4 linked regions of the Saccharomyces cerevisiae S288C genome follow. The protein of the gene in region 3 purifies or fractionates together with the protein of the main gene of each other region. This does not show direct contact. Each region holds a gene or a part of one and is shown on either strand. Other genes may lie near its edges. The genes, in order: RFA1, CMR1, HTB2 and PSH1.

The links.
Region 1: the proteins of HTB2 (region 3) and RFA1 purify together in Saccharomyces cerevisiae (affinity purification with mass spectrometry; 3 studies listed by BioGRID). This does not show direct contact.
Region 2: the proteins of HTB2 (region 3) and CMR1 purify together in Saccharomyces cerevisiae (affinity purification with mass spectrometry; 3 studies listed by BioGRID, with this or other methods). This does not show direct contact.
Region 4: the proteins of HTB2 (region 3) and PSH1 purify together in Saccharomyces cerevisiae (affinity purification with mass spectrometry; 5 studies listed by BioGRID). This does not show direct contact.

Annotation. Positions count from the first base shown.
Region 1 is NC_001133.9:156,254-165,008, reverse strand, and holds RFA1 (replication factor A subunit protein RFA1), read left to right. Parts: upstream 1-6,389; coding exon 6,390-8,255; downstream 8,256-8,755. Other genes in the region: YAR010C (gag protein), read left to right, coding at 1-465; YAR009C (truncated gag-pol fusion protein), read left to right, coding at 822-4,412; tRNA splicing endonuclease subunit SEN34, read right to left, coding at 5,216-6,043; COMPASS subunit protein SWD1, read right to left, coding at 8,724-8,755. UniProt on the Saccharomyces cerevisiae protein: As part of the replication protein A (RPA/RP-A), a single-stranded DNA-binding heterotrimeric complex, may play an essential role in DNA replication, recombination and repair.
Region 2 is NC_001136.10:170,175-178,923, forward strand, and holds CMR1 (Cmr1p), read left to right. Parts: upstream 1-4,743; coding exon 4,744-6,312; downstream 6,313-8,749. Other genes in the region: DExD/H-box ATP-dependent RNA helicase DHH1, read right to left, coding at 236-1,756; YDL159W-A (uncharacterized protein), read left to right, coding at 2,008-2,139; mitogen-activated protein kinase kinase STE7, read left to right, coding at 2,307-3,854; DMO2 (Dmo2p), read right to left, coding at 4,058-4,414; B-type cyclin CLB3, read left to right, coding at 6,599-7,882; MutS family protein MSH5, read left to right, coding at 8,160-8,749. UniProt on the Saccharomyces cerevisiae protein: DNA-binding protein that binds to both single- and double-stranded DNA. Binds preferentially to UV-damaged DNA in vitro. May be involved in DNA-metabolic processes.
Region 3 is NC_001134.8:231,755-239,376, reverse strand, and holds HTB2 (histone H2B), read right to left. Parts: upstream 2,886-7,622; coding exon 2,490-2,885; downstream 1-2,489. Other genes in the region: alpha,alpha-trehalase NTH2, read left to right, coding at 1-436; ECM15 (Ecm15p), read left to right, coding at 1,910-2,224; HTA2 (histone H2A), read left to right, coding at 3,585-3,983; UTP20 (Utp20p), read right to left, coding at 4,260-7,622. UniProt on the Saccharomyces cerevisiae protein: Core component of nucleosome. Nucleosomes wrap and compact DNA into chromatin, limiting DNA accessibility to the cellular machineries which require DNA as a template.
Region 4 is NC_001147.6:226,676-234,398, forward strand, and holds PSH1 (ubiquitin-protein ligase PSH1), read left to right. Parts: upstream 1-1,938; coding exon 1,939-3,159; downstream 3,160-7,723. Other genes in the region: AIM39 (Aim39p), read left to right, coding at 3,410-4,597; DDR2 (Ddr2p), read right to left, coding at 4,895-5,080; adenosylmethionine decarboxylase SPE2, read right to left, coding at 5,771-6,961.

The sequences.
Region 1 (8,755 bases), on a different chromosome or scaffold from region 3:
GAAACAAAAGTCACAAACATTATCGACAGACTGAACAATAATGGCATTCATATCAATAACAAGGTCGCATGCCAATTAATTATGAGAGGTCTATCTGGCGAATATAAATTTTTACGCTACACACGTCATCGACATCTAAATATGACAGTCGCTGAACTGTTCTTAGATATCCATGCTATTTATGAAGAACAACAGGGATCGAGAAACAGTAAACCTAATTACAGGAGAAATCCGAGTGATGAGAAGAATGATTCTCGCAGCTATACGAATACAACCAAACCCAAAGTTATAGCTCGGAATCCTCAAAAAACAAATAATTCGAAATCGAAAACAGCCAGGGCTCACAATGTATCCACATCTAATAACTCTCCCAGCACGGACAACGATTCCATCAGTAAATCAACTACTGAACCGATTCAATTGAACAATAAGCACGACCTTCATCTTAGGCCAGAAACTTACTGAATCTACAGTAAATCATACTAATCATTCTGATGATGAACTCCCTGGACACCTCCTTCTCGATTCAGGAGCATCACGAACCCTTATAAGATCTGCTCATCACATACACTCAGCATCATCTAATCCTGACATAAACGTAGTTGATGCTCAAAAAAGAAATATACCAATTAACGCTATTGGTGACCTACAATTTCACTTCCAGGACAACACCAAAACATCAATAAAGGTATTGCACACTCCTAACATAGCCTATGACTTACTCAGTTTGAATGAATTGGCTGCAGTAGATATCACAGCATGCTTTACCAAAAACGTCTTAGAACGGTCTGACGGCACTGTACTTGCACCTATCGTAAAATATGGAGACTTTTACTGGGTATCTAAAAAGTACTTGCTTCCATCAAATATCTCCGTACCCACCATCAATAATGTCCATACAAGTGAAAGTACACGCAAATATCCTTATCCTTTCATTCATCGAATGCTTGCGCATGCCAATGCACAGACAAATTCGATACTCACTTAAAAATAACACCATCACGTATTTTAACGAATCAGATGTCGACTGGTCTAGTGCTATTGACTATCAATGTCCTGATTGTTTAATCGGCAAAAGCACCAAACACAGACATATCAAAGGTTCACGACTAAAATACCAAAATTCATACGAACCCTTTCAATACCTACATACTGACATATTTGGTCCAGTTCACAACCTACCAAAAAGTGCACCATCCTATTTCATCTCATTTACTGATGAGACAACAAAATTGCGTTGGGTTTATCCATTACACGACCGTCGCGAGGACTCTATCCTCGATGTTTTTACTACGATACTAGCTTTTATTAAAAACCAGTTTCAGGCCAGTGTCTTGGTTATACAAATGGACCGTGGTTCTGAGTATACTAACAGAACTCTCCATAAATTCCTTGAAAAAAATGGTATAACTCCATGCTATACAACCACAGCGGATTCCCGAGCACATGGAGTCGCTGAACGGCTAAACCGTACCTTATTAGATGACTGCCGTACTCAACTGCAATGTAGTGGTTTACCGAACCATTTATGGTTCTCTGCAATCGAATTTTCTACTATTGTGAGAAATTCACTAGCTTCACCTAAAAGCAAAAAATCTGCAAGACAACATGCTGGCTTGGCAGGACTTGATATCAGTACTTTGTTACCTTTCGGTCAACCTGTTATCGTCAATGATCACAACCCTAACTCCAAAATACATCCTCGTGGCATCCCAGGCTACGCTCTACATCCGTCTCGAAACTCTTATGGATATATCATCTATCTTCCATCCTTAAAGAAGACAGTAGATACAACTAACTATGTTATTCTTCAGGGCAAGGAATCCAGATTAGATCAATTCAATTACGACGCACTCACTTTCGATGAAGACTTAAACCGTTTAACTGCTTCATATCATTCGTTCATTGCGTCAAATGAGATCCAAGAATCCAATGATCTTAACATAGAATCTGACCATGACTTCCAATCCGACATTGAACTACATCCTGAGCAACCGAGAAATGTCCTTTCAAAAGCTGTGAGTCCAACCGATTCCACACCTCCGTCAACTCATACTGAAGATTCGAAACGTGTTTCTAAAACCAATATTCGCGCACCCAGAGAAGTTGACCCCAACATATCTGAATCTAATATTCTTCCATCAAAGAAGAGATCTAGCACCCCCCAAATTTCCAATATCGAGAGTACCGGTTCGGGTGGTATGCATAAATTAAATGTTCCTTTACTTGCTCCCATGTCCCAATCTAACACACATGAGTCGTCGCACGCCAGTAAATCTAAAGATTTCAGACACTCAGACTCGTACAGTGAAAATGAGACTAATCATACAAACGTACCAATATCCAGTACGGGTGGTACCAACAACAAAACTGTTCCGCAGATAAGTGACCAAGAGACTGAGAAAAGGATTATACACCGTTCACCTTCAATCGATGCTTCTCCACCGGAAAATAATTCATCGCACAATATTGTTCCTATCAAAACGCCAACTACTGTTTCTGAACAGAATACCGAGGAATCTATCATCGCTGATCTCCCACTCCCTGATCTACCTCCAGAATCTCCTACCGAATTCCCTGACCCATTTAAAGAACTCCCACCGATAAATTCTCATCAAACTAATTCCAGTTTGGGTGGTATTGGTGACTCTAATGCCTATACTACTATCAACAGTAAGAAAAGATCATTAGAAGATAATGAAACTGAAATTAAGGTATCACGAGACACATGGAATACTAAGAATATGCGTAGTTTAGAACCTCCGAGATCGAAGAAACGAATTCACCTGATTGCAGCTGTAAAAGCAGTAAAATCAATCAAACCAATACGGACAACCTTACGATACGATGAGGCAATCACCTATAATAAAGATATTAAAGAAAAAGAAAAATATATCGAGGCATACCACAAAGAAGTCAACCAACTATTGAAAATGAATACTTGGGACACTGACAAATATTATGACAGAAAAGAAATAGACCCTAAAAGAGTAATAAACTCAATGTTTATCTTCAACAAGAAACGTGACGGAACTCATAAAGCTAGATTTGTTGCAAGAGGTGACATTCAGCATCCTGATACGTACGATACAGGTATGCAATCCAACACTGTACATCATTATGCGTTGATGACATCCCTGTCACTTGCATTAGACAATAACTACTATATTACACAATTAGACATATCTTCGGCATATTTGTATGCAGACATCAAAGAAGAATTATACATAAGACCTCCACCACATTTAGGAATGAATGATAAGTTGATACGTTTGAAGAAATCACTTTATGGATTGAAACAAAGTGGAGCGAACTGGTACGAAACTATCAAATCATACCTGATAAAACAGTGTGGTATGGAAGAAGTTCGTGGATGGTCATGCGTATTTAAGAATAGTCAAGTAACAATTTGCTTATTCGTTGATGATATGATATTGTTCAGCAAAGACTTAAATGCAAATAAGAAAATCATAACAACACTCAAGAAACAATACGATACAAAGATAATAAATCTGGGTGAAAGTGATAACGAAATTCAGTACGACATACTTGGCTTAGAAATCAAATATCAAAGAGGTAAATACATGAAATTAGGTATGGAAAAATCCTTGACAGAAAAATTACCCAAACTAAACGTACCTTTGAACCCAAAAGGAAAGAAACTTAGAGCTCCAGGTCAACCAGGTCTTTATATAGACCAGGATGAACTAGAAATAGATGAAGATGAATACAAAGAGAAGGTACATGAAATGCAAAAGTTGATTGGTCTAGCTTCATATGTTGGATATAAATTTAGATTTGACTTACTATACTACATCAACACACTTGCTCAACATATACTATTCCCCTCTAGGCAAGTTTTAGACATGACATATGAGTTGATACAATTCATGTGGGACACTAGAGATAAACAACTGATATGGCACAAAAACAAACCTACCGAGCCAGATAATAAACTAGTCGCAATAAGTGATGCTTCGTATGGCAACCAACCGTATTATAAATCACAAATTGGCAACATATATTTACTTAATGGAAAGGTAATTGGAGGAAAGTCCACCAAGGCTTCATTAACATGTACTTCAACTACGGAAGCAGAAATACACGCGATAAGTGAATCTGTCCCATTATTAAATAATCTAAGTTACCTGATACAAGAACTTAACAAGAAACCAATTATTAAAGGCTTACTTACTGATAGTAGATCAACGATCAGTATAATTAAGTCTACAAATGAAGAGAAATTTAGAAACAGATTTTTTGGCACAAAGGCAATGAGACTTAGAGATGAAGTATCAGGTAATAATTTATACGTATACTACATCGAGACCAAGAAGAACATTGCTGATGTGATGACAAAACCTCTTCCGATAAAAACATTTAAACTATTAACTAACAAATGGATTCATTAGATCTATTACATTATGGGTGGTATGTTGGAATAGAAATCAACTATCATCTACTAACTAGTATTTACATTACTAGTATATTATCATATACGGTGTTAGAAGATGACGCAAATGATGAGAAATAGTCATCTAAATTAGTGGAAGCTGAAACGCAAGGATTGATAATGTAATAGGATCAATGAATATAAACATATAAAACGGAATGAGGAATAATCGTAATATTAGTATGTAGAAATATAGATTCCATTTTGAGGATTCCTATATCCTCGAGGAGAACTTCTAGTATATTCTGTATACCTAATATTATAGCCTTTATCAACAATGGAATCCCAACAATTATCTCAACATTCACCCATTTCTCAGAACCAACTATCTTCGATCAATTTGTATTAAAACTGCTAGCATATTATCATATATGATGTAAAAAGACGACATAAAGGTCGAGTAACAATCATCCGATATAACGGAAGCTGAAATCCGAGGATCGATAATATAGCATAATTACTTGTATGAACGATGCTAAAATATTTGTTCCTTCACATCTACACGTGGAAGTAAATGAACTGGATGTCAACAGTTTAGAAGAGCTTTTTTTTCGGTTCTGGTAAACATTCAATAAACTGTTTTGCTCCCACTAAATATAAATAAACATAATTATATGTCTAGTGATAAACAACTACTTTCCCGCTGAATGCATCAAAATATCAATGCAAATTTAAAAATTGTATTACACATATGTATGCTTCTGAAAAACCTTATAAATACATAAATTCTGAGAAAATAATTATACATGACTGATTCCCAGCTTAACCAAATCCAGCCCATTCTATTGAGAAGAAATGAGTTTCCTTTGTCTCTTCCGCAACACCGCCTATGACCCAAAGTTTTTTCACAGTCGTTCCTAGTCTTGCACCACTTATCATGGATATTAGGTCAATCGGCTCATTATGATAATCAATCGCATCTTGTATCGTCAGATGTGAATGGAAACGAAGAGGATCACCAGGGTATGCTATAAACTTCCCACCAAAACGTCCACCTGGGGACAAAACGTACCCTTGATCTCTCAATGCCTTGTATAAGAAATAGGTCTGCATTTTTCCTGCCTGTCTGTACTGCTTAAATAACAAATCACTGATATCATCGCGGGATAAGCTGTCTGAATCACTCCGTATGTCTCTTAAAATCATAGAGGTATTAGCAATGTCAATGAACAAAGAAGATTCAATTAGCTGGTCATTATTGCTAGATTTATCAAGCCGTTGCAATTCTTCAGCTGTGGTTTTATCATTGATTCTACCGATTTTCTTTAATTTTGCAATGTGTTCATCCTTTTTGAACTTTCTCTGATATTCAAATGACTTGTTCAAACGATCGTTGACAATTTTAGATAGTTTGGCGCCCCGCTCTAATGTTATTCCCTCCATAATCTCATCTCCCTCTTGTCTTATTAATTTCACATCGGCAAGATTGTTCAAATGCAGCCACAGCACATCTTCTAACATAAGCCTCAAAGGTACCGACAAAAATACATTTTGCTGTGCTGCAGTAGGCAAAGTTCCAGATAACACACCACAAATACCCCATTTCCTTAGAAGTTTGATGTGATCTATGTCAAATACTAGCGGTGGCATAAAAACCTCCTCGCCTTTTGCCGTTCTTTTTGCATATATGTTAATAGCTATGCGCGTACCACCTTCTTCAGCCATATACGAAAGGATCTATGCTAATTGGGTGGATTTCTTATCGCATCACTTTCTTATTCTCTAACTCTTCTTCGCTGCTCAATAAAATATCTCTGCTTGGAAAAATGTCACGCGTAAAAATTAGACGAGGCGACAAAAGACGCGTGAACTAACATAAAGGTTTACTTGAACAAATGTTATCACTTTAAGTTCTACACGTAAAACAAAAACTATTCACTCTTCTTATTACGGTAAAGGCGAAACCAGCAAGAAGACCAGATTATACTTACAAGAGATGAGCAGTGTTCAACTTTCGAGGGGCGATTTTCATAGCATCTTCACCAATAAGCAAAGGTACGATAATCCCACCGGTGGCGTTTATCAAGTTTATAACACCAGGAAATCTGATGGGGCTAACAGCAACAGAAAGAATTTGATCATGATTTCCGATGGTATTTACCATATGAAGGCTCTGTTGAGAAACCAAGCTGCATCCAAGTTCCAGTCAATGGAACTACAAAGGGGTGATATCATTCGCGTGATAATTGCAGAACCTGCTATTGTCAGGGAAAGAAAGAAATACGTTCTTTTAGTAGATGACTTTGAGTTGGTCCAGTCGCGTGCTGATATGGTCAACCAAACTAGTACTTTTTTGGATAACTATTTCTCAGAGCATCCAAATGAAACCTTAAAAGACGAAGATATAACTGACAGTGGTAATGTTGCCAATCAAACAAACGCCAGCAATGCTGGTGTCCCTGATATGCTGCATTCAAACTCAAACTTGAATGCAAATGAGAGAAAATTCGCCAATGAAAACCCTAATTCGCAAAAAACCAGACCAATTTTTGCCATCGAACAACTGTCTCCATACCAAAACGTTTGGACTATCAAAGCAAGAGTTTCCTACAAGGGAGAAATTAAAACGTGGCACAATCAAAGAGGTGATGGTAAACTATTCAATGTCAACTTCTTGGATACCTCTGGAGAAATCCGAGCCACGGCGTTTAATGATTTTGCTACAAAATTTAACGAAATTTTACAAGAAGGCAAAGTATACTATGTATCAAAGGCAAAACTCCAACCAGCTAAGCCCCAATTTACTAATCTAACACACCCTTATGAACTGAATTTGGATAGAGACACTGTTATAGAAGAATGTTTCGATGAAAGTAATGTTCCGAAAACCCATTTCAATTTCATCAAACTAGATGCTATTCAGAACCAGGAAGTAAATTCCAACGTAGACGTCCTCGGTATTATCCAAACTATAAACCCACATTTTGAGCTAACTTCAAGGGCTGGGAAGAAATTCGATCGTCGTGACATCACAATTGTTGACGACTCTGGGTTTTCTATCTCTGTTGGCCTATGGAATCAGCAAGCCCTTGATTTCAACCTTCCTGAAGGTTCTGTTGCTGCCATTAAAGGTGTTCGTGTGACGGATTTTGGTGGCAAATCTTTGTCTATGGGATTTTCTAGTACCCTGATTCCGAATCCAGAAATTCCTGAGGCATATGCCTTAAAGGGTTGGTATGATTCCAAGGGCCGCAACGCAAACTTCATCACTTTAAAGCAAGAACCCGGTATGGGTGGTCAATCGGCTGCTAGCTTAACAAAATTCATTGCTCAGCGTATTACTATTGCTAGAGCTCAAGCTGAAAATCTAGGAAGAAGCGAGAAAGGTGACTTTTTTAGTGTTAAAGCTGCTATAAGTTTCTTAAAAGTTGATAATTTTGCATATCCTGCCTGTTCTAATGAGAATTGTAATAAGAAAGTTCTGGAACAGCCTGATGGTACTTGGAGATGTGAGAAGTGCGACACCAATAATGCAAGGCCAAATTGGAGATACATCTTGACAATATCAATTATTGACGAAACCAATCAACTATGGCTCACTTTATTTGACGACCAAGCTAAACAATTATTGGGTGTTGATGCTAATACATTAATGTCTTTGAAGGAAGAAGACCCCAACGAATTCACAAAAATTACTCAAAGTATCCAAATGAACGAATATGACTTTAGGATTAGAGCGCGTGAGGATACATACAATGATCAAAGCAGAATTAGATATACCGTTGCTAACCTACACAGCTTGAATTACAGGGCTGAAGCCGACTATCTTGCCGATGAGTTATCCAAGGCTTTGTTAGCTTAATGTATCAAATAATCAAGTACTATTTAATCTATGTAACATATGAGAAATGTAAAAAAAAAACTTCTATTTCGTCAAGTTTTTGAAGGGCGGTTCAGCATCTCTTGATGACTGGATATGAAACTACACGTTCAGTCATATGAATTTGAACCCATAATGCACAAATGAATAAAAATGCTAACAAATTCTAATTAATGGCATGGTACTAACACCCAACAATTTACCGCCCTTTAGGTGTACAGCTTCAAATAACAAAGCTTTACAAATTCACCTTCAACATTTACGTTCAGTAGTATGAAATTACCATCATGACGTGCTCCTATCAAAGTGAGATTATTGCACTTCGTATTATTAGGAAATTACCAAAAAATGCAAAATTTTTCAATTCTGTGTCAAAGAAATCGCGGTAGGCATGACTATACCTCTTCAGTGTCAGTTGCCTATTTAAACTTTCTCCTTTTGAAGAGAAACCTATGATGACTGCATCTTAATTATCCTCGTAT
Region 2 (8,749 bases), on a different chromosome or scaffold from region 3:
TGCGCAAATGAGGATAAAAAAATCAGCACAGAAACTAGAGAAAACGGATAAAAAAATAAAAAAGCAGAGACAAAAATTAAATTACGACTGATTCTTGTTCAAAATCAATAGTAAAAGTATGGTTACAAAGTAATGTAATTCACAATGGAGATTTGAAAAAAGATAAAAATAATCGACGATTAGATCACAAAAAAAGCGTATCTCACCACAGTAGTTATTTTTTCTTAGATATTCTTTAATACTGGGGTTGTGACTGACCAGGTGGCATCGCCATGAAATGTTCCTGCTGTGGAGGATACCCCTGCTGCGATGGCATTTGCGGTGGAGGATACGCCTGTTGTTGCTGATGCGAAGGAGGAACCATGAATTGTGGATGATGTTGCTGCGGAGGAATAGCAAATTGTTGCTGAGATGGTAATTGTTGCTGAGGTATCGCTTGTTGATGATAGCTCTGTTGCTCTATCGGGAATGGGACAGGTACCGTTTCGTCATTTTCAGCCACATACAATGACTTATCGATAGTGGCCGGAATAGCCGCAATTTCAGTGCCCAGTTCTTGTTCGATTTTATAAAGGTTAAACCGATCATTCCAGTTAATCAAATTGATTGCTAAACCCAAGTGGCCAAACCTACCGGATCTACCAATACGATGTAAATATGTTTCTGCCGTTTTGGGGAAATCGAAATTGATAACGACATTAACGGCTTGAATATCGATACCACGGGTCAATAAATCGGAGCAGACCAATGTACGAACCTTACCTTGACGAAATTCGTGGAAAACTTTATTTCTTTCTTGTTGCTTCATTCTTGCATGAGAGTAATAACAGGAATAGCCTAAATCAGTGATTTTCTTGGCTAGTAATTCGACACGGTTAGTAGAATTACAAAAAATAATGGCTTGATTAATTTGAAGCTTAGAGAATAAAGTATTTAAACAATGTAGCTTTTGTCTTTCTTCAACAAAGGCGTAGTATTGAGTAATACCCTTTAGAGTCAATTCTTCCATCAAATTAATTTCATAAGGCTTATGCAGATGTTTAACCATGAATTCCTTAACCGTTAGTGGGAAAGTAGCGCTAAATAATAAAGATTGGTGAGTTGGAGGTAAGAAGGATAAGATTTGTTCAATTATTGTCTTGAAGTCACGAGATAACATTTTATCGGCTTCGTCCATGATGAATAATGAACAATCAGACAGATCTGCTACTTTTCTCGAAGCTAAATCCAACACTCTACCAGGAGTACCAACCAAAATATGGACTGTTTCATTTAATCTTAGAATATCGTCTCTCAAATTGGTACCACCAGTGGTCACCATACATGAAATACCACAGTGTTTTCCCAATGTACGGACGACTTGGGAAGTTTGCAGAGCTAACTCTCTTGTGGGAACCATGATCAAAGCCTGAATTTTATTCAACTTTGGTTTGACTTTCTCTAACGTAGGAATAACAAATGCGGCTGTCTTACCTGTACCATTCTTTGCTCTGGCCAATATGTCTCTACCAGTTATTGCTACCGGAATAGCCTCTTCTTGAATAGGGGATGGTTTTTCAAAACCGGCTTCAAAAATACCCATTAACAGCTCTCTTTTCAAATAAAAATCTTCAAAAGTATTACCCTTTGTATTTAAGACATCATCTGTCTGTGGTCTGGTATCCTTCTTGGGAATATTCAATGCAGTTTTCCAGTCCCGATCGAGATCCGTATTACTGTTATTATTAGTGTTGAAGTTATTATTGATGGAACCCATTACTACTATTTTCTTTCTTGTCGTATTTTAGGCCTGGGATAAGTTATTATGCGAATGGCGATGCGGTTATGAAGAAATAAAAGGGCTAAAAGTAAGAATTTTCTGCGTCTATCTTTCTATTAGGAATAAAATATGACTATATTTACTATTATTGTTGTTTTGTCGTACAATCCTTTATGAATGAAAATATTAAGCTTGTGGTCTTAAAAGAATGTGGATGAAACAAAACTGAATCCAATGATGAGAAATAAATGTACAATCAGATAATAAACACTTTTATTGATGATTGTCTTTTCTTGCAAACCCCAATGTTACAATCGCCCATTAGTTCTAAGATTGTGTTGTCCTTTTTCTTACGAAATTTTTTTCCCTCCCTTTTTTGATCACTGTCCTCGTTATAAGTGATTCGTGGGGTAACGGCGATATCATACTATTATTGGCCCATCTGATGGATTAGAAGACCTACAGGTTAATGTGAAGCGACACTAATGATAAGAAAACTGCATCGGATCATATCTGTTTTTGCAGCGTGGTATATTGGTTGTTGGTCATGTTTCAACGAAAGACTTTACAGAGAAGGAACTTGAAAGGGCTCAATCTTAACCTGCACCCAGATGTGGGCAATAATGGCCAATTGCAGGAAAAGACAGAGACTCACCAGGGACAATCTCGAATAGAAGGCCACGTGATGTCTAACATTAATGCAATACAGAATAATAGCAACCTGTTTTTGCGAAGAGGCATAAAAAAAAAACTGACGTTGGATGCGTTTGGTGATGACCAAGCTATATCGAAACCAAACACTGTGGTAATACAGCAACCGCAAAATGAACCTGTTTTAGTTCTGTCTTCTCTATCACAATCCCCGTGTGTATCATCATCATCATCTTTGTCCACGCCATGCATTATAGATGCGTACAGTAATAATTTCGGATTATCGCCATCATCCACGAATTCTACTCCCTCTACGATTCAGGGATTGTCCAATATTGCAACACCAGTTGAAAACGAACATTCGATATCACTACCACCTTTGGAGGAAAGCCTATCGCCAGCCGCAGCAGATCTGAAAGATACGTTGTCGGGAACTTCAAATGGTAATTATATACAACTCCAGGACTTGGTTCAGTTGGGGAAAATTGGTGCTGGAAATTCTGGAACTGTGGTGAAGGCACTACATGTTCCTGATTCCAAAATAGTTGCCAAAAAAACCATTCCTGTGGAACAGAATAACAGTACAATCATCAACCAATTAGTTAGGGAATTATCTATCGTCAAAAACGTTAAGCCCCATGAAAACATTATCACCTTCTATGGAGCTTATTATAACCAGCATATAAATAATGAAATCATAATTTTAATGGAATACTCTGATTGTGGTTCTTTAGATAAAATACTGTCCGTTTATAAAAGGTTTGTTCAAAGAGGGACTGTTTCGAGTAAGAAAACCTGGTTCAACGAATTAACAATATCAAAAATAGCGTATGGCGTACTAAATGGCTTGGATCATTTGTACCGACAATATAAGATCATTCATCGTGATATCAAGCCTTCCAATGTTCTGATTAATAGTAAGGGGCAGATTAAGTTATGTGATTTTGGAGTTTCCAAAAAACTAATAAATTCTATCGCTGATACATTTGTTGGAACGTCCACTTATATGTCACCAGAGAGGATACAAGGAAACGTTTATTCTATCAAAGGGGACGTTTGGTCATTGGGCTTAATGATCATCGAGCTGGTAACTGGAGAGTTTCCCCTAGGTGGGCATAACGATACACCTGATGGCATATTGGATTTGCTGCAACGTATTGTCAACGAGCCTTCACCAAGATTACCCAAAGACCGTATCTATTCCAAGGAAATGACAGATTTTGTCAATAGGTGTTGTATTAAGAATGAAAGGGAAAGGTCATCGATTCATGAATTGCTACATCATGATCTTATAATGAAATACGTATCACCGTCTAAAGATGATAAATTTAGACATTGGTGTAGAAAAATAAAATCTAAAATAAAGGAAGACAAGAGAATTAAAAGAGAAGCCTTGGACCGTGCCAAGTTAGAAAAGAAACAATCGGAAAGATCAACCCATTGAATGCATGCGATAACATTAGTTAGGAACATATTGCACTTTTTTTCACATCCCTTTCTCAAAGCTATATTCATATATATATAGACTCTCCTGATTATGTAAATCACAAACCAATTTTCTAATGTAACAATATTTTTAAAAATAATCATCAAAGTAGCACTTTATGTACAGAAAATTTCACGATTGAGAGAAGCTTGCGAATAATACTAGTTAGCCTGTGTTTCACCATCGTTACTTAATTTCTTATAGTTCTTATATTCTTTATTTTTATGCCACAACCAACCTTCGGTTCCTCTAACGAAACCGAAGGCGATTAATAACCCACCGAAGCTACGTAAAGTTACTTTCCACCATTGTGGGTTTCTTTTTTCAAATTCAGTCAGAGAAATGCCTCTTTTGGCTTCTTTTTTACCATACTTGAATGGTTTCCCAGATGCCAAGTATGAGCCAAATCCAACAGAAAACATAGTGCTCATGACTTGACAAGGAACGCAATCCATAGTCTCTTCTTTTTCCAGCTCCCTTTGTGGTGGAGGGTTGAACACTGCCAAAATATTACTCATTGTTTTTCACCACTTGCTGTTTCTCTCTAAGCGGTGTTTTGTTTCCTACTTGGTGGCACACAATGACTGTACTCGCTTTATATGCTCGTACCTTTTTTCAAAAGCCCATCGTTAATTTTTCACCCGAGGACCCCATATTACGCGTTTTTTGTTAATGTTCAATTTCTGACATGTTACAATTATAATAACGCCAAAAGAGGTAAATGTATATTTGAACAATTGTTAAAGAGAAGATAAAAACCCTTTAATCTTGCATTTGTCGTCAATAGTACACAATAGGCGATCTATTTTAGTACGGCAATTAAAAGAAAGCTGCTTTTCAGTCAAGAATGCCGGAATTAACAGAATTTCAGAAAAAACGTTTAGAGAACATCAAAAGGAATAACGATTTATTGAAAAAACTCCATTTGTCTGGAGTAGCATCTCAAATTAAGCACGAGGCTGGGGTGTTGGAAAAATCTAGAGCTCCTGCAAAAAAGAAACAAAAAACAACTAATACCAGAGCAACCAAGTCTGCGAGTCCCACTTTACCTACACGAAGATCAAGAAGGCTAAGGGGTGAGTCTGCAGACGATGTGAAAGGAATACCCAATGTGAACGATAATCAGTTGCTTAAAATGGGTTCTCCAGATGGCCAGGATAAGAATTTTATAGACGCAATAAAGGAGAAACCTGTAATAGGAGATGTGAAATTAAGTGATCTGATCAAGGATGAAGACGAAAGTGCCCTTTTAGAGAAATTCAAGAGGTTTAATAACGGAAACTTTTCTTCTGGTGATTTCTTTGAAGAAATAAAAAAGAGACAGGGTGACGTTACGGGGATGGACGAATTTGATTTGGATCTATATGACGTTTTTCAACCGAACGAAATTAAGATTACATACGAAAGAATCTCTGCCACTTACTTCCATCCTGCTATGGAAAAAAAGCTAATAATTGCAGGTGATACAAGCGGTACTGTGGGTTTTTGGAACGTTAGAGATGAACCACTAGCTGACAGCGAAGAGGACCGAATGGAAGAACCCGATATCACCAGAGTGAAACTATTTACCAAAAACGTCGGCCGTATTGATTGCTTCCCTGCGGACACATCGAAGATATTGCTCACCTCTTACGACGGAAGCATCAGGTCAGTTCACTTGAATAACTTACAGAGTGAAGAGGTTCTCACCTTGAAAAATGAATATGACGATTCACTGGGTATCAGCGATTGCCAGTTTAGCTACGAAAACCCAAATGTTTTATTCCTCACCACATTAGGTGGTGAATTCACCACGTTTGACACAAGAGTAAAAAAATCAGAGTATAATCTGCGAAGACTCGCAGACAAGAAGATCGGGTCTATGGCAATAAATCCCATGAGACCCTACGAGATTGCCACCGGATCACTTGATAGAACACTCAAAATCTGGGATACAAGAAACCTTGTTAAAAAGCCAGAGTGGTCACAATATGAAGACTATCCCAGTCATGAAATTGTCTCCACATATGACTCAAGATTGAGCGTCTCTGCAGTTTCTTACTCACCGACAGATGGCACCTTAGTGTGCAATGGCTATGACGATACCATCCGCTTATTCGATGTCAAGAGTAGGGATCACCTTTCTGCGAAGTTGGAGCCCAAACTAACGATTCAGCACAATTGCCAAACAGGAAGATGGACAAGCATCCTCAAGGCCAGGTTCAAGCCGAACAAGAATGTTTTTGCAATAGCTAACATGAAGCGCGCCATCGACATATACAACAGCGAAGGCCAGCAACTGGCTCACCTACCCACAGCTACTGTCCCAGCTGTAATTAGTTGGCACCCGCTGCGAAACTGGATTGCAGGTGGTAATTCTAGCGGCAAAATATTCCTCTTTACTGATGACTCCGGAACCATAAAGCAGGAAGAATGAAAACATCTCAGTTACCCGCACTGCCTTTTTTCTCTCCCGCTTTTCAGCAGAACGAGGCGACAAGCGAAGGAACAAAACAAAACAAAAGAAAACAAAAATATTGAAATGCAAGAACATGGACACATAAAAACATTTTTGATCCGGTCGAAAGAAAACGATCAGAAATTTTTAGCTGCTTGCTTAGAAGAAAAGAAAAGAAAATTGCAGAGAAAAAGCTATTTATTGTTTCTGTCCTTCGCTTTAAAACATAGAGATATTTTGTCCTTTTTATCATTGCTTATTATAAATGCATCATAACTCACAGTCTTTGAGCTCTGGACACATCAGGAGCCCCGAGGATGAAAATGTGGCACCTATAGGTAATCTTAAACACAGGACTGGATCCCTCAGTCATATTTCATCTGCGCACCCGAGGGTCGCACTTAGCGACGTTACCAATATAGTTGCGACAAACTCTAGCAACAACAGCATAAGTAAGCCAAAAGTCGCCCCAATTAAAGAAAGATTGGATTCAGCTGCGATAATTGAGGAAGAAAGGCTGGATGCGAATAGTGTTGCACAGAGAAAAGAAGCTGATCATAACGATTTGTTAACGGACAGGGAACAAGAGGAACCCGTTGAAGACGACGGAGAAAGCGAAGAGGATGAAGAAGAAGACCAGGAGCCTCTACTGTTGCAACATTATGCTAGTGATACATTGGTCTGGGAGCATGCATTTAGAACTTACTATAGAACTACATTAGATCCCAATGATGATGACGTGTACGATGTGGTCATGGTTGCCGAATTATCTAATGAGATATTCGAGTATATGAGGAAATTGGAAGACCTGTATAAACCCAACCCGTACTACATGGATAAACAACCAGAGTTAAGATGGTCGTTTCGAAGCACACTGATTGATTGGATCGTCCAAGTACATGAAAAATTTCAACTTTTACCTGAAACTCTATATCTCTGCATTAATATAATAGACAGATATCTGTGCAAAGAAGTTGTTCCTGTAAATAAGTTCCAACTTGTGGGTGCAGCCTCACTCTTCATTGCTGCTAAATATGAGGAAATCAACTGTCCTACAATCAAGGATTTCGTATACATGTCAGAAAACTGCTACTCAAGGAACGACCTGCTGGACGCAGAAAGAACTATTTTGAACGGCTTAGAATTTGAATTGGGTTGGCCTGGTCCGATGTCATTTTTACGAAGAATCAGTAAGGCAGACGATTACGAGCATGATACGAGAACACTGGCCAAATATCTATTGGAATCCACAATAATGGACCATCGACTGGTTTCCGCTCAACCTAGTTGGTTAGCTGCCGGTGCATACTTTCTAAGTAAGATTATTCTGGGCCAAAATCAGTGGTCTCTGGCGCACGTCTACTATTCCAATTATACACAAGAACAAATTCTTCCGTTGGCCACCATTATTTTAGAAAATTGCAGATATGCCTCTAAACGTCATAACGCCATATGGAGAAAATATTCTTCACGTCGTTATTTGCATTCTTCACAGATCGTAGCGAAGTGGATAGCATTAGCTGAACACAGAGTAGAAAGATCTAACTAAAAAGCCTCAGCTCGAGACATGGCATCAACAAAGGAAAAAGGATTCATTACCGTCTTTTGCACACAAAAACTTTAATCATCAGTAATAAACATATGTAACTTTTTAACCTTAAAACATACTAATCTCCGTACTTTTTTTAAAGCATCCACAATCCATATGGATATGACGCGAAATTAGCTCGGCGGTTAATTATTAAAAAATTGAAGCTAAAATCAAGGTTAACAAAACAACTCATTCAAAATAACTTACTCATTCATATACTGCCACCAAATGGAATATGTCCCATGAATGGCTCATAAGCGCATCGGAAACAATGAGAAGCATTGGTAATGGGGAAGGTTTGCGGGATAAAGGTGCTGTCGTTGCCAACAATGACGGAGAATTTAACGAAGGTGATACAAATCGTGAAGAGGATAGCTCTACCATTTTCTCCTTCGATTTTGACGAGGAGATTGTAATGTGTATTGACTTTTCTGGAGGAAAACTCGGGTGTTCTATTTTAGATTATCATACCAAGACTTTGAAAGCGTTTGACCAGGACTACGTGGTCAATAAAACAACAATTTCGTCTCATGATCTTATCGATGATGCAGATATGTCTTCAAACGACATAAGTCTGTTACTTGGACTTTTAATAATGGAAGCAAACCCAACTGTATGCCTAGTGCCGGCAAGATTGGAGGATTGGATTTTCGACTACATTAAGACAAAATGCGATGAGATAAACTGTAGGCTAGAACTACAACCAATAAAACGTTTCAAAAAATGGGACTTATTGCAGTCATTGCAGTTAAGGGGTCATGATAATCAGACTATATTGAACGACATATTATCAAATAGCAAATTTACCACCACAGTCACCTTAGG
Region 3 (7,622 bases):
CACAGAAAAATCAAGAGGTCCTATTTCTATTGATAGACCGATCAGGCAATGGGATTATCCTTTTGGTTGGGCGCCGCACCAAATATTAGCCTGGAAAGGTTTATCTGCATATGGTTATCAACAAGTAGCTACAAGATTGGCTTATAGGTGGCTGTACATGATTACAAAATCATTTGTTGATTATAACGGAATGGTGGTAGAAAAATATGATGTGACAAGAGGGACTGATCCGCATCGCGTTGATGCGGAATATGGTAATCAAGGTGCTGATTTTAAGGGCGTCGCTACAGAAGGCTTTGGTTGGGTGAACACAAGTTATTTGCTCGGATTGAAATATATGAATAATCATGCAAGAAGGGCTCTCGCTGCTTGTAGTCCACCATTGCCATTTTTCAATAGTTTGAAACCCTCTGAGAAAAAATTGTATTACCTATAATATTGACGAACATATGTAAATAAGATATATGTTATATTCTTCTTTCTATCAATAACCATGAGATTGTGCCTCAGTAATATTTGAGACGATTTAGAGTAAGGTCAAATATTATTATTAATCAAGTTGTGTAAAGGCTCATTTGTGAAGGTTAGAATAGTAATCGATGATTTTCAAGTAAAAGTGTTTGAAGGGCATTTCAGTAACATCTTCAAACTAGGAGTTTGTTGAGACAAAAAAGTCTGATTTTCATAAGATCATAACTTACGCTTTGAAGATCGTTATGAGTACCTTGTAGCTTGCCAGATCTTCTTGCTTATTCTTAAGCTCTTGGGTAGTACTGTATAAGACTGCTTGACATCGGGAACACTATCATTACCGTGTGATAGAATTCTCGTACCAAGCCGGTTCACCTTTGCGTGGTCTAGTGCATAGGAAGAATGACTAATAGAAAGCTTTCATTTCTATTAGTGTCTTAAATGCGAAGAAGGTATGGGAATCTATTACATACATGAAGAATATAGGATCTGTATATCGTCGTCACCGACGTAAGGTTTTTTTGTCAATTCTCGGTGAACAATTTTTTGCAAGAAATATATTGATACTTCTTGTTGAAATATTTTTCTTTTTCGGAAAACAAAAACATAAAATAATTATTTAAGAAAAAAAATTAATTAATAAATTTAAATAGAAAATCTTTTTTACTTAATAATAATTAAATAAATAAGTCACATGATTTATGTAGGATCAATTTGCTCAAGATTAATTTATTATTATTGATATTAGTAGGTGCCAGTTGAATAGCTATATTTTCAGTCTGTTTGAACGTTCTTTTTTTCATTTTCTGCTGAAAGCAAGTACTCCTACTTTTATTACTTTACATGTTATCGGAGGCCTGCACAGACACTTGTATCCTATACTATCAAGGTAAATATGATTGATTGATCCTCTTGGGAAATGGGATTTTAAGTTTTGTTAGCATTCTGGTTTGCCAACCTGTTGGTAAAGCACTATTTTTCAAGCTTTTGCAACGAGATTTGTCTCTTTGATTTTTTATTTATGATTTCTAACTTTTTACTTTTAGTTAAACTATTAAAGAATAATTTTCGCAAGGTACATAGCGATTTAAGTAGTTCAGAAAAGAAATTATTTAAAAATTACTCGCTCTCTTATTTGAAATGAAGATGGTTTTCAGACAAACTCCTACACAAGCTTGTTACTGGCTTTCAGTCCGAAAACAGCTCCAAACCCTTTAATAAAACCTTTCGTTTCTTTTACTTTTTATTCGAATTATATAGCTCTTTGACATTCCTTTTTTAGTATGATTCAAGCTCCCCTCTTTTCCACCCCGTGAAAAACAGAATATCATTAACCGGGATTCACTGACATCGTCAAAAGGAGAGATCAAGATATTCAGTTTTTGTCATTGCCGTCGTGATCATTAACTATAAAGCACATAAACTACAAGTTTAGAAAATGCCCAAGATCTTTTGTTTAGCGGACGTGTGTATGGTCCCTATTGGCACCGACTCTGCTAGTATTTCTGATTTTGTTGCACTCATTGAAAAAAAAATCAGAGAAAGCCCATTAAAGAGCACTTTACACAGTGCAGGAACAACAATTGAAGGGCCTTGGGATGATGTGATGGGTTTGATTGGCGAAATCCATGAATACGGTCATGAGAAAGGATATGTTAGAGTACACACTGATATTCGTGTTGGGACTAGAACTGATAAGCACCAAACTGCTCAAGATAAGATCGATGTTGTTTTAAAAAAAATTTCTCAATGAATGCTCGTGTAGTGAACCTAAATAGGGTATATCTTTAAGGAGAGTTTAAGAAACAATTTAATAATAACTGTTTGCAAAATATCTTTCCCAATTTTTTTTGTTTATAAAGTTATATATATACATTTATACAACTCCCTTCGGAGGCTGATAGACTAGACCCTTCCAATCATATCTGGACAAGTAACAGAACCCTAATGTTACAATATATAAAAAATGCCACTAATAAAAAGAAAACATGACTAAATCACAATACCTAGTGAGTGACTTAGGCTTGAGTAGAGGAGGAGTATTTGGTAACAGCCCTAGTACCTTCGGAGACGGCATGTTTAGCCAATTCACCAGGTAAGATCAATCTAACGGCTGTTTGGATTTCTCTAGCAGAAATAGTGGATTTCTTGTTATAAGCGGCCAATTTAGAAGCTTCAGTAGCAATTCTTTCAAAGATATCGTTAACGAAAGAGTTCAAAATAGACATAGACTTCTGGGAAATACCAGTGTCTGGGTGAGTTTGCTTCAAAACTTTGTAAATATAAGAGGAATAGGTCTCCTTTCTAACCTTAGATCTCTTCTTACCATCGACGGAGGTTGATGTTTTCTTGGCAGCTGGCTTCTTTTCAGCTGGAGCTTTGGAAGCTGGTTTCTTTTCGGCGGCAGAGGACATTAGTTGTAGAGTAAGTTGTTGTTGGTTTGAGTATAGAGCAATCAGAAAAAATTAACAAGAAGAAAGTAAAATTTTTAAAAAGCTAAATAAATAAACAAAACCAGTCAGCAAAAAAATTTTACACATATACCATGATATATAATAATATATTTAAAAACCTGTGTTATGCTCAAATAACGGTTACTGATCCAAAACCTTATATATGACGGCAAGTGTCTCACTGTTGCATTACGCGATGTTTCTTTTCTTTGTTCTTGTAAGCGCGATTTTACCAGAACTAGATGGCGCTCGTGATCCTGAAAACGGGGAGAAATTTTGAGAACACCGCTTTATTAGGCGAAGCGGTGGGCACAGCTCACGCGTAAGGTGTTCCCATTATTTCTCAAAGTGATGCGAATTTCAGAGAACACATTAACCTGGGGGCCATAAACGCGACGTGCTACCATTTTCGTTACGTATACTTAGGCCAGAGATTACAACATGACTACTAATATCAAACATAACTCTATATATAAGGGATGAAGATGTATGCTTTCTTAGAATTTCAAACATGTTCCGTTAAAGTTTTACTTTTCGATTTCAATTTCGACTGCATGATGCTTTTCTTAGGTAGTTTTTTGTTATTAAATAGTATCATAAATTCTTGTCTTTTTACATAAGAATTAGGAAAGTACAGAACAAGAGCAAATTTAATATATAATGTCCGGTGGTAAAGGTGGTAAAGCTGGTTCAGCTGCTAAAGCTTCTCAATCTAGATCTGCTAAAGCTGGTTTAACATTCCCAGTTGGTAGAGTGCACAGATTGCTAAGAAGAGGTAACTACGCCCAGAGAATTGGTTCTGGTGCTCCAGTCTATCTAACTGCTGTCTTAGAATATTTGGCTGCTGAAATTTTAGAATTGGCTGGTAATGCTGCTAGAGATAACAAAAAAACCAGAATTATTCCAAGACATTTACAATTGGCCATCAGAAATGATGATGAATTGAACAAGCTATTGGGTAATGTTACCATCGCCCAAGGTGGTGTTTTGCCAAACATTCACCAAAACTTGTTGCCAAAGAAGTCTGCCAAGACTGCCAAAGCTTCTCAAGAACTGTAAGAACTGAGTTGAAAAGAAACAAAGCAAATCAAACATTCTTGTCATTTGGGGTTTTAAAGTAGGTCATATGAGGAAGACTGGTATGTCTTTTATCTAACAGTTTTATAAATAGCGTCGTTTTATTAAAGACAGTGTATAGTATTACTATTAATAAAGAAAATAAAAAACGTATCAAGTTTACGGTTTTACTTACGGAAATGCTAACGTACTACAGCTTTGACGTTATAACTTGGATTTTTTATTCATTAGTATACATGTTATAAAGATATATTACAGCTAGGCTCTCTTTCTTTTGTTACGTCTTTGATAATACCCATTTTCATCCTTTTCATGCTTTCTCTTTTCCCTCGATCTCGCATGCTTTCTCAACTTTTTATCAGCAGAAATTTGTGGAGCGTTAACAGCCAGAATTGCCCTTTTAGATCTCCTTTCCTTTCTTCTTTCTAATACGGTCTGTTTGACAGCAGTGTATATTTTTGTAAAATCGGATACTTGCAATTTGTCTTCCAGTATTTTTAAACATTCGTTTGAAAGAGTGCGTAGTTCTTCCTGTTCTTCATCAACTGCTCTTGAGTAATATGTTTCTAAATAACCATATAGCGGCAATAATATCTTTTCCCCTTCTGCAATTACTTCGTCTTCGTCCAGAACTTGAACTAATAAGGCCAATAACTGAATACACGCCTTCTTCGACATAAAAGAATCCATACGATGTTCATCCGACCTGATAATACCACCAATTCGAGTTACCATATAATCAATGGCGGTAGTATATTTTAGATCCTCTCCAGTTTGTTTTGATACATCCATTATGAACGGCGTGCGTTGCTCCTTCCATAGGATACTGATATTAACTAATGTTTTTATTGAGACGTTCGCAAGATTCTCCGGAATAGAAGGCGCACCTAATTGGTGAAGAATTCTTGTTGCAATGGTTTGAATTTCCAGATTGGTTAATGATATCTCCAGCTTATCCTTATTGGCTATGAGTTGATGAACAAGATTTGCCGCCGATTGACGGACCCATGAGTGCGGATACAAGAGACATGTGATAATACCATCCCATATGTCTTTGAAACCATGTTTATAAACGCTCTCTGTTGCTTCCATATAAGATGAGAACGTATTTAAAGCTGAGTATACCAAATCCCACTGATGTTCTGATCCTACCGACGTATCGCTCAAAATGTACCTTATACGCTTGATGGCAAGCTCGTCTAGCTCAATAGTATGTTCAAACCCAATACTTTTCAAGTAGACCTTATAAGTTCTCAACCCAAGATTTAAAAAGGATGCATTATCAACCTGTTTTAGCCAAGCGGCTATATATTTTTCAACAATTTCAAGGTCCTTATTTTCAAGCTTTGGAAGCATGGTGGAAATCAATACTGAAGCCATCTCACGGCATCTTGGCGCATCATCATTAAAAGAAACATTAACTAGCGCCAGAAAGAAGGAAGATGATAATTTGGATAGTAAAGCAGGATTAGCCTTTGTAATAATCAAATTGATCAATTCCATTACGGACTGACGGCCGGACTCGGTAGGATACTGTAAATTGTCGACCATAAATTTGAACTGCTTTTCTAAACGACCCTTACTTTGGTCATATTCCATTAAAAATTGGTAGTAAACGCTCCTGGATACATCCCTAATTTCTTTTGAGTGGTTTGTGACCATGATTTCCCTAGTAGTATCCGCAATGTCATAGAGTTCTGGAAGCATGATATGTTTTGAAACAAGTGCTTTTAGGAAATTAAAAGCAAGGCCTTGTCTGCTTGGTTCATTTAAATCTGGTAAGACCCTCCCTAGAACATAACTCAAAGCAGTATCCTTTAATGTTGAATCTGTGTGACGTATAAAGGCAGAAAGAAACTTTAAACCCATTTGGCATAATTCGCTTGAAGTTGAAGGAGAAACCTTGATAATATTTAGTACCTTCCTCGCACAGTTTTTGAAGATTTCACTAGATTCATCGGAAAAATCTAGCCTAATTAATGTAATCAGGATACGTAAAGTACTAATTACCACACCTTCATTTTCCGAAAGTAACGAATCTCTCAAAAATGGAATAAAACCCTCTAGGTGCGAGACAGTTAAAAAGGAGCGGTGTCTCGTTATTACGTTCCTAAGTAAGTCTAAAGCAAATTTTTGTAAAGTGCTGTTCAAAAGCAAACTGTTTGAGTTGATGGTATAAGATTTCGACTCCAAATTTACCAAGAAAAAGTCTTCTTTTTCATCTACTTGGTCTTTCACTTTTTTCTTTGGTATTTGAGGGGAATTACTCATTTCTGATTCCTGGAAAAGCTGATGGCAGAACTTGAGGATACTTTCTGACTCAGAGTCACTATTATGATTTAAACCCAACAAATATCGTCTCAATAATTCACTCAGTTTGTTTTGATTTCTTAGATTAATTCTGACCATCAACAAAGCCTTCACAGGAGAGAGTAATGTTCCAAATTCTGTCAGGCTGATGTTTGAGGCGAGAATTTCACCAGCATCATAGCTTTTATTACTCTTAATTTCTTTCACTTTTGTATGATAATTCTCAGAGTCTTTTTCTTCACCAGCGAACCCAAAGATATTTTCCATTATAATCTTAACAATCATACTGGACGAGGTATCCAAATCGGAGTGTTTTAAGACTCCGTGCATACTCTTTAATATGTAGTGGACAGTGTAACTTAACACATGAATTTGAGAACCACGTTTTAATGTAGCCATTAATTCCTTTATCACAAAGACAAGATACTCAGCGCCCAAGATAATACTGATTTTACCCAAGGTTACTCTTACTGCATCTCTTAATTCTTCGGATTTACTTCTCAAAACTTGGCAAATATTTGTTAGAATACTAGGGAGGAAATTAGTAATATCATCATTTGTGAGCCCTAAAACAATATTAACTAATGCCTCCGCAATAGGCATTCTTTCAATTATAGTTTCGTCATCTCTAGTGCCAAGAATTTTCGAAAGAGTCGGATACAATTCTTGCTTAATAAAATTACTGGGTTCATCTAAGTTGGAAGGAAATTTGCTCAAAGTAAGTTTCGACTCAGCCCCATCTCTTACGATACGAAGAGTTTCTCTAAGTGGAACAGAAAGTTGAACAATTAATTGTACGGCTTGCTTCATTTGGTTAGGCTTGGTTTTCAACATAGAAATGTACCTTCTAAGAAGAGCTTTGTATTGATTCCAACTCATGTGCTGCGCCAACCCTCCGATGGCTATTTGGGTCTCATTTCCAATATTTCTGTATCTTTCATCATCCGAAAAGACATAATGTTCGATCATTGGAATTAAATAATGGGATATACTGTTATCTTTGAGTTGATGAGCATGTTCACCTAGTCTTTTAATGGCTCTCTGACGACGATGAAGCTGAATATGATTAACGTTTGTAAAAAAATCTGCTTCTTCATCACCATTGTACAGTAAAATGGCCATATCTTCGAAGTCGGTGAAATATTTCGTGTTTTTTACCATATATGATAGCACTGATACATACTCACTTTGTACCTCTTCTAGGGAGTCTCTGAGGCCAATCCTTATATTGGGTAAAAGTATATCCTTCAGCATAGAAATCGATTTTGAAGCTTCATTAAGATTAGGCTTTTCGTTAATGAAGTCAATAAA
Region 4 (7,723 bases), on a different chromosome or scaffold from region 3:
TTGCGCTGAATTTCTTGATGGTATTACATCTCAGGATAGCATACCTCAGTATGACAATACATCATCTCGTAAACGCTCATATGAAACAACCTTATAACAAAACGAATAGAATGAGCAACATGAGATAAAACTCCGCCTCCCGTAGTTGAACCACCCAAACGTATAAATCCCTGAACAATTAGTTTAGATCTGAGATTCCTCGCTTTCATCATTTAGTGTAATTCATATTTTATATGATATATAGAATAAGCAACATCCCATGAATCAAGCTGATAATCCGTTTTGGCAACTGATTACTTCCCAAAGACTCCTTATATTAGGATTGTCTAGACACCCCGGTATTACTCGAGCCCTAATACAACAGTAAAAGTTTGTAAATATATAGAATTAATTGGTCACAATTGTTTGATGCTCCCCTTTCAATTAACGAATATCTATTGACTGGTATTTATATTACTATTATATTATCATATAAGACGTGACAAGATGACATAAAGACTAAGAAACAGTCATTAGATTCATATGAAAGCTAAATGCAAGGATAAATATTGTAATAAGATAATAAGGGCCTGCACATAAAAATGGGAAGAATAAAAAGAATAGTAATAATAATAATGATGATGACGATGATGATGATGATGATGATGATGATGATGATGATTATGATTACAATGTATTTGATAATATACTAGTATCACGAATATTACTAAATGGATGACACTCTAGAGTTTCATCTGAATAATTACCAAATTATTCACCTATCTCTTAGTAGTATACCTATTTTTTCGTTTAATTAGTGTCCTTATTGGCTTTAAAGTAATTAATGCAGATGGTTCATGGCATACAAAAAATACTTTGTTTCGTTTGTTTTTTTTTTCTTTTTGTTATGATTTTATTAGCCTAATAATGTCCTAGAGTTAACAAATGTAAATTGTAAGAGGATACATTACATCTACAAAAATTAAAACCAGTTAACTCTCTATCCTCATCCTTTTAATTTTGTTGAATAAGAGGCAACCATAAAGGTTAAGAAATAGCATCAGATGTAATGGAAGCTGAAAAATGCAATGATTGATTATTCAATAATAGTGAATAACGGCGTGTAAATGAATAAGAAATGGTAATAATAATACTGATGCCTTTTTATGGATTCCTATATCCTTGTGGAAAACCTCTTGAATACTGGGTGAATAATTTGATAATTGTTGTCATTCCATTGTTGGTGAAGGCTATAATATTATGTATACAGATTATAATAGAAATTTTCCTCGAGGATATAGGAATCCTCAAAAAGGAATCTATATTTCTACATACTAATATTACGAATATTCCCAATTCCGTTTTATACATTTCATTATCCTATTACATTATTAGTCCTTGCATTTCGCTTCAATCAATCTAACTGTTTCCCAATCTTTATGTTATCTTCTTACACTGCATGTGATAATATACTAGTAACACGAATACTACTAAAAAGATGATATTTTAAAGTTTCATTCCAACACCTCTAACATGTTCTATATACCTAATATTAAACCTTTATTAATAATGGAATCTCAACAATTGTCTCAAAATTCTCCCATTTCTCACAATCTTGTGCATTGAGAACTGTGCATCATTAAGTTTCTAAAATTTAGATCTTTCATAAAATATTAGACTCCATGGCCAAGTTGGTTAAGGCGTGCGACTGTTAATCGCAAGATCGTGAGTTCAACCCTCACTGGGGTCGTTATTTTTGAATACCCAATACTTTTTTTTCGGGCCATTTCACACAATGGCGTTTTTTATCCTATGTCCACTACAATTTAGATGAGCTCTCTTCTAGCATACAACTGCGATGAGGAATTTGATAATATTCTATTTTAAGCATTAAGTTTTCAGAAAACGAACGATCGCGTTTTTTCTCAGACAGAAAGTTTTAATATATTGATAAGAATAATGGGCGACGAATTACACAACCGTTTACTTCACCAAAACGATGGCACCAAGGACGCCATACTTTATAAGATAATAGAATCGTTAGTTTGCTCCATCTGCCACGATTATATGTTTGTACCGATGATGACACCTTGTGGTCATAATTATTGCTATGGTTGTCTGAACACCTGGTTTGCCAGCAATACTCAAAAAGAATTGGCTTGTCCGCAGTGCAGATCTGATATTACCACCATTCCCGCATTGAATACAACGTTGCAACAGTATCTATCATTCATTTTAGAGAAATTAAGGGACCAGAATGATGAATCTTTTAAAAAACTTTTAACAACTAAAACCAAGGAGGAAAATGATTACAAGAATGACAAGGAAAAGGACACATTGTTTGACAAAGTATTTAAGAATAGCGCATTGGCAGTGGCCGACGACTCGGATGATGGTATCACACGTTGTAGTAATTGTCATTGGGAATTAGACCCAGACGAAGTAGAGGACGGAAATGTTTGTCCCCACTGCAATGCCAGAATACGGAATTACGCAGGTGGTCGCGACGAATTTGATGAAGAAGAATACAGTGAAGGAGAGTTGGATGAAATCCGGGAAAGCATGCGTAGGCGTAGAGAGAATCGATTTGCGTCTACCAATCCGTTTGCTAATAGAGATGATGTAAGTTCTGAAGACGATGATAGCAGTGAAGAGGAGCCCATGCGAGAACATATCCCACTAGGCCGTTGGGCCAGGTCACATAATCGTAGTATTGCTGTGGATGCTGTGGATGATGAAGACGACGAAGAAGAGGATGAGGAAGAAGAAGAGGAGATGGATTCCGATTTGAAAGATTTTATAGAGGATGATGAAGATGACGAAGATGAAGATGGAAGTAGGAGGAATTTGGTATTGTCTGCACTCAAGAACAGACATGTAATTATTACTGATGATGAGGAAGAGGAGCAACGGCGACATGCTACAGAAGAGGAAGATCGCGATAGTGACTTTTACGAGCATAATGATGATGGTTTTGTAAGTGGTGATAGCCTTGATGAGGATCAGAAGGAGGTTACACGGATACAATCGAGTTCTGATTCCGAAGATCGTTCACTTTCGTATTCCGGCTCCAGCGATGTCAAGGATAACAATGACGATAACACGGAAGAATTAGATGACCCACAACCGAAAAGGCAGAAACGCTTCCGTGTAGTTCTAGGAGACAGTGACGATGAATAATCTGAACATTTTAACTAGCGGGAACGGCATATGTACGGAACTTTTATGTATGTTTTTAAAAAATTTCCTTTCTATCCTTATTACATTAAGATTTTTAAGCGATAGTAGGATCGGAAATATAAGCACTCGTTTATGATATAAATAGGTCAAGAATTTCGTAAAGTAAAATCAATACATATGTGAATCTTTTTTTTTTTTTTTTTGGGACTGCTATTGGTATTTTTTTAGCGTCACGTTAATCAGCCCAATTATGTGGGGGTTATGCAAGAAGCATTTTCCGAGCAATAAAATTCAAGTGCAGGAGAGAAACAAAGCATTAAAACCAAAGAAGAGTGGCAGCGAACATAAGACAAAGCAACTGTTTCCTGTATTCAATTGCAAGAAGAAGGAAAAAGGGGTAATGATACGGTTTGCGATTCTACGTAATGCTAACACATCTCTACTGTCCGCGAGAAGTATATGCTTATTTACCCAGGCGCCTACCTATTGTCATGTAAGGTTGAATACCTTGAATAAAAGCATTACAACTAAAAGAAATTCATTGACAGAGTCGAAAAGGCATGTCCATGATGGCAAGCATTTTTTTACGACGCCACATCAACAGCAACAGACGAAGTTGGGGGAAATTGAAGAGGGACACAGTCCTAACATAAAAGGAGAGGACTTGAGAAGCATTGGTCAAGCAATAACACATCAGCGAAACAAGCGCCGAAAGCAAATATGGTCCGCCATATTTGGTGGTATATTCGGTGTGATATTAGGATACTCACTAATCTATAGAGTGATATATTTAAAGGAACAAAGTTTCTTACCATTGTTTCCATCATCCAAGATACGTAAACTGAGTACCAGAGATTTGAAAAAGGTTGACGTAAACCAAGTACAGAAGCTTTCTAAATTAAGGGTTTTAGAGATATTATCCGGTCATGACATGATCAAGGAACAATACGGAGTACCATTGCTTGATAAAGATGGCAATTCACCCACGTTAAATGAATTCAGCATGTGGTGCGAAGATCAAGATCCATGTGTAACTGGTATTGTAATGGAGCCAGACGATAAAAGGGATAGTTCGCACACTTGGTATAGAATACCCTTTGTTTGCAAATGGAGGATAACGCATCGGCCAATAAGTATACGGGGAACCATCGACGATTTACTGAACCGCATTGGTTTGGAAACAGCCGATTTATTTGAGATTATATCGCCGGAGAGGGTATACGGGTCGTTCAAGTACGAATACCCACTGCAGGGGGACTCACATGCATTACACCTTTGGTTTCATGGCGAAATCGAACTGGACGATGATTCTTTGATTGTATATAATGGAAAATACCACGTTGATGTTAAATTGCAAGAAATCGACCTCTTCAGACGTGAAAAGAACGGACAACTAATACAGTACGTTCTATACAAAAACGAAGCGGGCGACAAGTAAGAAAAATGTAAATATTTTTATCACAATTATGATTATTATCGTTATTAAACTACTTATTTTCGGTTACGTAGATGAAATAGTGTTATATAAGAATATTTGAGAAAGTAAAACTGATAAATAAATATAATGGAATGAAAAAATAGAGACGAACTGGAAGAAGAGAAAAAAAATTAAAGCACCAAATTTACTACTCTGGGGCCTATAGATGGAATATCAAAGGGGAAGATGAGAAAAGAAATTATACATTTCAGAAACGTCAATAGGGTATCATCATCGTGGCAGTAAGCGGCGTTTTTCCTAAATCAAAAAGGCCAAAGCACCACCAACAGCAGCACCGACGACTCCGGCGTTTAGTAGTTGACCATTTTGAGCGTGCAAAGCAGGAGCAGCGTTACTCGTGGTGTTGGATGCGTTTTGAGCATTTACGCTAGTAGCGAGGCCGAAGACAGAGATGGCAGAAATGAAAACTTGTGATACTTTCATGTTTAAATCGATATTAAATTAGCGTGCTTGCTTGGAGGGCTTTTCAGAATGAAAAAAAAAAGAATGAAGAAAGAATTAACCAAAGAATGGAGGTTATGTGTAAGAAATGGCATTTATATATACATTTATATAAAAATGTATAAACATACTTGCATTATTGATGTCCCATAAGGGGTGAGAAAAGACAAAAATGGAAACAGGGGAAAAGAAGAAGAGTAAAAAAAGGATTATTTTAGGAGAGAAAGGGGATTAGAAGAACATCGGGCATAAACCTTTGAGCATCATCCTTTATTGATGTTTGACACCTTGCGATTGATGAAAAATATTGATGATATTAAGGTATTTCTGATAGCCACTGCCCCGTCCCTTGAAGCGGCCTTCCGTCGAGGCCTTGGCAACCGTGTCTGGGTGTGTGATATATTACATCAGAGGAAATAAAAGCTTGAGCGGCTAAACTCCCTTAGCTCAGGGGTGGTCTGGCCAGGAATTTTCAGTGGCCATTTTTCCTGTTCCGGGTCCGGCCAATCTGTGCCGGTTTTCTCTAGAGGAAAAAAAAAAGCATGCGGGGTAATGATGTAGAAGATATACAAGCGGGTTAAACTACATTAGTTATGAGTGCTAGAAAGCAAGCGAAGGATAATAGAAGAGGGCTATTCTATGTAAGTATGAGGAGACACAAATGGCGGCTTTTCATATTTTCTTCTGCAATTTCATATAGAAAAGGTGGTAGTCGTCCAGATCATAAACAATTTTGTCTAACTTGATGTAGTCGGGCAGTGACTCGTTGATGCTTAGTAGTTTTTGGAAGGATTGGTTCTGATAATTTTTGGTAAAAAAGGTCATCGAGAACTCTCTTGGTTGAAAAACGTTCAGAATATGTAGAAGAACGTCCAAGTTGTCTTGCTTCCCTTGGGAAATGTCAAATACGGGTATGTTACTTTCGAAAGAGGCGTAAGACCAACCCTTTTCCGGAGTCACGTGCAGGGTGTAATAGTATTTTTCAGCGAGAATCATATTGGATGAGTATCCACATGGCGTGAACGCAAATGCATCGTGGTGAAATGATAAATCGGAGTCTTGGGCCGAGTTGACATATATTTCGTCAAGCCTTGTATTTTTAGTCATTTGGTAGCCGAGGTTGTGGCCCTTATCTTCGTTTGGCTCCACGAGAGCGGTTGTGGATGCCTCAGGCCCGCAAACAAACTTACTAGCGCATTCTGGGTCCAGCTCCGTCATCAGTACTTCGAAAGTTTCGTCGTCATCCTCGATGTACTCCTTTCCCTTAGGTGTGGAGCGGTCCGTCTCGGTGACGTACAGGTTCCAGTGGTTGCTCTTGTCATTTCTTCCCACGGAATAACTTTTACCATTGTCGAAAAATTTGTTCAAATAGTCGACTTCGTCAGCCCAGTTTTGATGGATAGCGGCTTGCTTACAGGGGAAAAGGAAACATCGTCTAGAATAAAACACTTTAAATGGTTTGTACTTGCCCCCTTGTGTTGTGCGGAAAGCCCACGATAACTCTTGCTCAACGATCTGGAAAAGCTTTTCGAGACAGAACAATGTGGTTGTAGTACCGCACGTCTTCATCGTCAATTTGTGATCGAAGACGAAGAGGGAAGACTCACTCAACAAAAAGGCATCCAGTTCTTTAGTCTTCTTCATGGAAAGAACTTCGCATTTCACTAATTTCAAAATCTCGATCCATCTATCCATGCCAATATTTCTTAATGTCTTTTCGGTCGTGATGGACTTCTTGTGAGGGAAGAACCAGATTTCCAGCAACTTCTCGGGACCCTCGAACGCATCCGTTGAGTCTAAAGTGGCTGATAGTTCGTGGTCAATGTAGTTGTGGTTAGTCAATTCTTTTATGGTGACAGTCATTCTATGGTCCGCCTATTTGCGTAAGACACTATATGAAAACCTAAAAAATATAAAAAAGAAGCTACAGTACAGTAATTGATTAACCTGGAAGAAAAAAAAGAAAAAAAGAGTTGATGCAAGGAGCGAGCTGTAGCGAATACAATATATACACGTATAGATATGCAGAGATGCTTTTAGTCGATTAGCAAAGTTTATTCGATGCCTAAATACCGGAGAACCGTGTTTGGAATTTTTTTTCTTCGAGTGGAAAAAAGTGAAAATTTCCAAAGTCAATCATTGTGTACGTACGCTGAAATTGGATGCAGAAGAGGTAAAAGGCGAAGGAAAAGAGGGCGAGGGTAAAAAGCCTGATTGCCAAACCATGGTGCCCAATTTATTGGATATTACTACTGATGGAAGGCTACATATCTCTGGCGCTTTCTATCAGCTGTCATCGATTTGAAATTCTTCTAGCCCTAGGAACGCCATTATGGGGCTTATCCGGGTAGCCAGTTGGCGGTTTTAGTTTTTTCACTTCTTGATTTTTTTCTAGTTCGAAGAATTTTTTCCACTGATGATTGAGCTATAAAAGAGCCTGATTAAGATGAAGAGCTCCGATTCTCTTCGTTAACGGAGCATCAAACATGACGTTAGCGTCAAGTAACCTACGATATTTGTGCAACAGACATGATGGAGTACCCTCATGCTTTGGCGCGTGCGCATCTATATAAGGTTAGGGACTGCAAAAGAAGCGGCGAGGCAGCCCACATCAAGTGGAACTAC